2 linked regions of the Schizosaccharomyces pombe genome follow. The protein of the gene in region 2 purifies or fractionates together with the protein of the main gene of each other region. This does not show direct contact. Each region holds a gene or a part of one and is shown on either strand. Other genes may lie near its edges.

The links.
Region 1: the proteins of pdp3 (region 2) and ptf2 purify together in Schizosaccharomyces pombe (affinity purification with western blotting; one study listed by BioGRID). This does not show direct contact.

What each region holds. Positions count from the first base shown.
Region 1 is NC_003423.3:4,234,935-4,238,841, reverse strand, and holds ptf2 (protein ptf2), read right to left. Parts: upstream 1,853-3,907; 5' UTR 1,621-1,852; coding exon 1,240-1,620; 3' UTR 518-1,239; downstream 1-517. Other genes in the region: rps3 (40S ribosomal protein uS3), read left to right, coding at 1-517; top3 (DNA topoisomerase III), read left to right, coding at 2,705-2,785, 2,833-3,209, 3,299-3,791, 3,842-3,907.
Region 2 is NC_003424.3:4,335,269-4,339,130, forward strand, and holds pdp3 (PWWP domain-containing protein), read left to right. Parts: upstream 1-1,812; 5' UTR 1,813-1,979; coding exon 1,980-3,203; downstream 3,204-3,862. Other genes in the region: prp10 (U2 snRNP-associated protein SF3B1), read right to left, coding at 1-1,287, 1,354-1,458, 1,510-1,519; DNA replication factor C complex subunit Rfc2, read left to right, coding at 3,474-3,547, 3,600-3,862. UniProt on the Schizosaccharomyces pombe protein: Component of the mst2 complex which is a highly specific H3 lysine 14 (H3K14) acetyltransferase that functions together with gcn5 to regulate global levels of H3K14 acetylation (H3K14ac), critical for DNA damage checkpoint activation.

The sequences.
Region 1 (3,907 bases), on a different chromosome or scaffold from region 2:
TTTTAAGTTTGCTGAGAACACTGTTGAGCTGTATGCCGAGAAGGTTCAAAACCGTGGTCTCTGCGCTGTTGCCCAATGTGAATCCCTTCGCTACAAGCTTTTGGCTGGTTTGGCTGTTCGTCGTGCCGCCTATGGTGTCCTTCGTTATGTTATGGAGGCTGGTGCCAAGGGTTGTGAGGTTGTCATCTCCGGTAAGCTCCGTGCTGCTCGTGCCAAGTCCATGAAATTTGCCGACGGTTTCATGATCCACTCTGGTCAACCTGCTGTTGATTTCATTGACTCTGCTACTCGCCACGTTCTCCTTCGTCAAGGTGTTCTTGGTGTTAAGGTTAAAATTATGTTGCCTGAGCCCAAGACCCGTCAAAAGAAGTCTCTTCCCGATATTGTTGTCGTTTTGGACCCCAAGGAGGAGGAGCCTATTACTAAGCCTTATACTGTTATCAACCAACCCGTTGAGGCCGCTGCTGCTGCTGGCCAAGAGGTTGTTGCTGAACAAGAGACTGCTGTTGCTTACTAGGTGCTTTAGTTGGTTCCACTTAATTCCTGATAAAAATAAATTCGGTTTAAGATATTTGATTTGACACTGAGTGTATGGTATTGTACTTGTATTTAGTAATAAGTGTTTTTGGTATATTCGTTTAATTGTATCTTTGAAGAGAATAAATATAGACACATTTTCAGGTAATACATAAAGGTAAAAACACTGTTGTTTGACACACAACCGAAGTGCGTTTAATGTATTAAGAACACTTAGTTGTCCGAGCAATGTCCAAACATTGAAATCGTTTGCCTTACTTGTATATTAGCAAAGTTTTTTGTTATCAATTCTAAAATTCAGAAGAAAGTATAATAAAAAAAGAAAGGAGAAATAAACCTTGGGGAGTAATGAAAACTGGCAATGCAACTTTTCAGAATTGAGTAATGTTCAATATTAGCGTTTCAGTATTTAAACTGGCAATTGATAATAAATAATATGACTCTTATAATCCTAAATTAAAAATCTCTTATCATAGTTATATACGAAAAAAAAGGAGAAAAGCTATAGAAATTGTCGCTAACAGGTTAAACATCATCGCCAGGCACTTTTATCCATCAACCGTAAATGGGTAGAATTCTCATATCAAAGTAAACAGAATACGCACGGATCGCACTGCCAACATTAAAGTGCAGCAAAAAAAAAATTAAAATATTATTATGAAAGGGAAACTGGTTATCAAAAAAATAAAAAATAAAATGAAATCATGGTGCTGGAACATAAAGCGGATTATCTGCTTCTAGATATTTTATTTTTTCACACAAGTGCTTATAAGAGGCCAAAACGTTTTCATATAACTTGTTTGCTTCTGCACTTGTTTGTCGTAAATACTCATGCGATGTAAACAGAGAATCTGCCAATTTTTGCTTAGCACTTGGGACCTCTGAAATGGGACAATCACACACCAACCTGGCAGCGGTATTTAAATTTTCATTTTCTTTTGCAAAAAAATTCTCGTATTTTCTTATATAACGTAAAGAACGATAAATCTCGATTGGAATATTATCGGTAAATTCAACAAACTCGGCTGCAAGGTCTTCGTCACTCAATTTTTCATTACACGATGACTCCTGTATCTCATCCATTAAAAAAGGTCAATATTGTGGAAGCCAAAGTGCAAAAACTTGTTATAAACAAAACAAAATGAAAAGATGAAAAAGAAATTAAATTTCAAATTTTTGGTTAATCGCACCTCCTAAACTTCCCAAATTCAATCGCTTTAATCGAACATGGATTTTTTGTGTTTTATATTTCAGAATAATAAACCTCAGACTATATTAAAAAAAGTAGAAACCTCGTGGAAGAATGCTTACTACTGCTTCATCAGTTATCTCAGGTTCGCACTTGTCTACTACAGTGGTGAGGAAAGTAACATGTTACCAATTGTATGGAATCAAAGTAGTTAATTGAGATTTACGAGAGAAGCTGTGAAACAAAAACTTGCCTTCTAGACAAGGTCGCTTTGTTTTAAAAAAACAAAAAAAATCCTCTGCACAGTCCCTTCACTCTATCGATAGTGCATGATTTTTCTTTTTCTTTTTTAGCTATCGATAATTATTTTGCATTTAAAAGATGAGAAAATATAAATATAAAAACAAATTAAAATATTATCAATCCCGGTTTGAGTCAATAAGAGAACTTTCATTTATCTATTTATTTTAATTTCAATTAATTAAGGAACTTACATCAATTTACCATGCTCTATAGAAATAAATATGTAGTTTACAATGCGAATGATGGGTTCAAAAATCAAAAAATATCTAAATTTCTAACTTTTTTTTACAAACAAAATATTAATTTTAAATTTTGTTATACATTCGGCGCATCTATTCATTAAACCGTCCTGACTATGAAAGCTTAAGAAATAGTTATTACATGGACTTCTTCAATGCAACATACATCAAAATTATATAATTACTTATCTAAAGAGGTTCTTCTTAATTCTCTAGTATAATTAACTACTGGTATGGTGTTTGATTTTTTTTAATGAACTTTCTGGTCCTCGATTTACTACCTTTCATTATACCAACATTTGTTAGCATAAACAATAAAGCCATCTCGACCTTAACACCTTACACGCGAATTTTACACTGCAGTCATTTTTAAAAAAGGGAGATATAATTAGAAGGTGTGCAATATCCAAGTAATAAATGTCATCTCTTAAAAGAAATGCGCGTCCTATGTGTTGCTGAAAAAAACTCGATTGCCAAATCGGTAGCAAGCATTCTAGGGGGTGGACACGTGAGAAGGGTTTGTTAAAAAATTTAATCTTTTCTGAAATTTACTAATCTCTTAAGAGAGATACACGAAGTAAGTATGTAAAAAATTACGACTTCTCATTTAATTTTGGAGGCAATGTTGGATCTTCTGATGTTACAATGACTTCTGTATCCGGTCACTTAACAGAAGCTTCTTTTCCTTCTGAATATTCTAGTTGGAGCTCTGTCCCTCAAGACGTTTTATTCGATGCTCAAATCATCACCTCAGTATCAAAGAATGCAGAAGTACTAGCAGACAATATTAAAAAAGAAGCTAGAAATGCCCAGTACCTTTATATTTGGACCGATTGTGATCGTGAGGGTGAACACATTGGGGTGGAAATCTCCAATGTAGCTAGAGCCAGCAATCCATCTATTCAGGTTATCCGAGCAGACTTCAATAATTTGGAACGGTCGTAAGTTATAAACATCTTAGCGTTTTAAAAAGCAGATATTTATTTATTACAGAAAAAACCCTTCAAGATAAATGCTAACTAATTTTCAGACATATTATCAGTGCCGCGAAACGTCCAAGAGATGTTTCAAAAAATGCTGCAGATGCTGTGGATGCTAGAATTGAACTTGATTTTCGTTTAGGTGCAATATTCACTCGGCTACAAACTATTCAATTACAAAAATCATTCGATATTCTTCAGAATAAAATAATAAGTTATGGTCCCTGCCAATTCCCTACATTAGGCTTTGTAGTTGATCGGTGGCAGCGAGTAGAAGACTTTGTGCCTGAAACCTACTGGCACCTTCGATTTGTTGATAAAAGACAGGGTAAGACTATTCAGTTCAATTGGGAAAGGGCCAAAGTTTTTGACAGATTAACTACAATGATCATCTTGGAAAACTGTTTAGAATGCAAAACTGCTAAGGTCGTTAACATAACTCAAAAACCAAAAACCAAGTATAAACCTCTGCCATTATCAACTGTAGAACTTACAAAACTGGGGCCAAAACATCTAAGAATTTCTGCTAAGAAAACTTTAGAGGTACGATTTGATTATAAGTGAATTTGCAACTTTAACATCATTTTCATCAGCTCGCCGAAAACTTATATACTAATGGGTTTGTTTCTTACCCACGTACTGAAACCGACCAATTTGAC
Region 2 (3,862 bases):
AGCCGGAAGCTTTAGCTAAGTTACTAATGATTTCCCGACCTTCAGCACGTGCATAGTAATCTTCATCAATAAGAAGGGGTTCAATAACTACGAGAATTTTATGAGTAAAAGGGCGAACCAGATCATCCAATTTGTATAATATACGATCAATAACCTTAACTAAAAGATGGCGCTCCTGATCTTCCAGTGTTCGTTCCATTAACAACGGAAGAATCTGATTAAATAAAGCAGCTGCACCAAAGTCGCGAGCTTGATCCGTAAGCTGGCGTAATGCACTCTTACGCATGGGAGGAGTACCATTTTTTACTTTCAGAAGTAATCTCAAAATTTTACGTTCACGAAGTTCCGCAATTGTAAGCTTGGCCTCGTCCTCCACCTTGAGTAACTTGCCAAAATATTTAACATCTTCTTGCTTAAAAAAAGCTAAATCACCTACACCGGGTATTTCTGTAGGCAATGCAGCTGGTAATTCTTTTTCTAAAGGAAGCTCTTGCTCTTGTGGAACGTGATATGTATCGAGCGTAGTACCTTTTTGAAGTAGTTCAGGATGAATTGATTCTAAATATCCAGGAGGAGGCTCCAAAATAGCATAGCCTTCTGACGGCAAAAGCTCATTTAACTCTTCTTCAGTTAATAAACGGACAGGAGGTCGTAATTTTTCTTCTACTACATTTACTTCCTTATTAATAAGATCTTCAGAAATTCCGTTTTCTATAACATGTTCAGATATAGTGAAGTTTTCAGGAGCTTTGTCCCAACGTGATCTACGCTTAGTAGTGGAAACCTGCGTAACGCTAGGTGGAGCCTGATCCCAACGAGAGCGTTTAGGCTTCTGAGATATTTCCGTATTATTAAGCTCTAGTTCTCTTTTTTTGTCCGATATGCTTTCCTCCTCCTCCACCTCTTTTAGTGTTCCTTCACGACGTCTTTGATTTAATTCCATATGAACTCGTCGCTCTTCCTTTTCTAATTCAACCTGCCGCATAACCTCCGCATAAGATCTTCCATTGCTCTGTGTCCCATCAGGTTGAAAAGCATCTACGCGGGTTGGAGTAAGCTGTCTATCATAACGCTGCTTTTGATAATCTGACTCGCGATCCTGAATTTGCTTTTTTGACTGTCTCTCTTGCATAGGGTCATAACTTTCATCAGCGTATTCATTTAGTAGTTCCTTAGGTGCTTCATATTGACGCACTAAACGATAACTATCATTAACATCGTTTGTACGTTTATAATCGTCTTCATCCTGAGAGATATCATTGCGCACGTCAATTGCGGAGTCATATTCTTCTTTTGGGTTACTGGACTTAAAAAGATGAGCATTATATTGTAAATCATTAGAATCCTGGGTACCTTCAATATTTACACTTCCATTTGTCGACGAATTCTTCGCTGCCTCTTTTTGTCTTCGCAAAAGTTCTCTTTCAGCACGAAGCCTTTCTATTTCCACATCTTCTACTTTATTTAGGTTAGTAACATCCATTTTGAACATTTTATAAGGATACGTACCAGTTGACATGTTGATGGCGAAGAAATGCTTTCATGTTGCGCGTCTTATACTCATTTAAATATACTCAAAGCATTCTAAGCTTCGTTATCAATATTTTAAAGTACAATACAGTAACTCGTTTTGTAGAATAACGATAAGATTAACGTGTCTTATTTAGTTTAACCCTCTTTATTAAGATTTATTTGCGAAAGAAATATATACTATCGAAAAAATTAGTATGAGGAATGATATTGAAATATCGAGGTATCATATTGCAACAGCTCAAGCTTTTAGCACCCCCCCCCTCTGCTATTGTAGATCTTGTAAGCGTTGCTGCAATTAATTGATAATAGACAAGCGTCTTACGGTTTCTACTTGTATATCCTAATATTTGGTGGAACCTTTACAAATTGATGTAAAATCTCTTTGGAAAAATTCAGCACTATATCGCTTTAATGTGAAGTTTGGCTTATAAGGAATGTAATTAACGATGATGGTTGCTAGGACACGCAGTCAAAAAAGAAAGCTTGAAGAGATTAATAACCAGAAGAAGATTAAAACAAAAAAAAAGGCCACCGGGCAACAGACTTCTAATACGAAAAATCTGCGTGATGTTAAAAAGAAAGGTAAACAATTAGCGTATGTTCCGAGGACGTCACCAAGGAAATCATATAAAAATGGGGAATATGTTTTAGCAAAGATGAGTAGCTTCCCATGGTGGCCAGCCAGAGTAGCGAGCCAAAAATCAATACCCACTGAGGTACGCGAACGATTGAAACGAAATTTTCGAATGGACAATGGAATATTTGTTCAGTTTCTTCCTTCAAGAGATTACGCTATTATTTCTTCTTCAAATGTTTTGCCCTTAACTGTTGATGAATCAAGGTTTATTTTGGACCATGATTTATCGACAAAGTATATCCAAAAGACGGTAGGTCTCATCATTGCTTCCGTAAAGAGAAAAGTTTCTTTTTCTGATGTCGAAGAGGATGAGTTTGAACCAGAGAATACTCGTAAAAAACTTCAAAAGCCCATCGAGAAACCAAAAAAGGAAAAGATAGAAGCCACACCTAAAATTGACGGGGGTAAAAGGTTAAAAAATGAGAAATCGTCGGCAGAAATTTCTCAAACATCGAAGCAACGACCTTCACGTAGGTCAGCTCGAGTTAGGATGGCTACAGACAACGCTCAGAAATCCCCATCTCCAATTCCTTCTCCCAAGAAAACAGCCAAAAAAAGAGTAAGGTTTGCCGGTTCTTTAGAGGAATTACCAAAATTTTCACTTGAATATCAATTGGCTCAGCCTATAAGTACTGTAGATATGTATGCTCAAGTTCATTATATTCGATTTAATACTCTTTTATATTACCGCTACCAACTACAAGAAATCCTACTGTCATATAATCATTATCCTCAAGAATCGGATATGTCTCATGTGCACCAAATATTGGAGATGATTGAGAATTTCAGCGCAATAAATTCTGAACTATTAGAATCAACCAAGTTGTATTCACTTTTTACTTTGCTTGTTAAATTAAGCGACATACCGTTGGATGAAAAATATGACTTTTCTTCACGATTTTCGACTCTTCTCCTTCAATTCCAAGCATTCGTTCAGCCCAAAACCATGACAAGTAATGTATCTACAGCGCCCATTGGAAAGAATGCTCAAGTGAACACAGAAGCTGCCAGACCATCTGTCATCACTACCTAACTTTTGATCATACATTCATATGCTTTTGTTATCGAATTACATAACTAATCTTGTTTACATTTAATGTTACGATAATATTTGCTTCCAACATTTTCATTAATATAGAACGCATTATTAGCGCGACTCAATGTGTTTATGGTACAAATCGTTACAATACGTTATCCTAGTATGTAAGCAAGAACAAGCATTGCTTACTACCATTTCGTAGTAGGTACCGTCAGTGTTTTTTTTTTTTACTTGCGATATCTCGTGTATACTAATTTAAAAAAAATGTCTTTCTTTGCTCCAAGGAATAAGAAAACGGAGCAGGAAGCAAAGAAATCAATACCTTGGGTTGAGCTTTAGTATGTAAATAGAGAATACTTTTTAAGAACAATAACATTAACACGTATGTAGTCGTCCCAAGACATTGGACCAAGTTTCCTCTCAAGAATCTACTGTACAAGTATTAAAAAAAACACTTTTATCTAATAACTTACCTCACATGTTGTTTTATGGCTCTCCTGGTACTGGAAAGACGTCAACCATTCTAGCTTTGTCTCGTGAGCTATTTGGACCGCAATTGATGAAATCAAGGGTTTTGGAATTGAATGCTTCTGATGAACGCGGTATCTCTATTATTCGGGAGAAAGTCAAGTCTTTTGCAAAAACAACCGTAA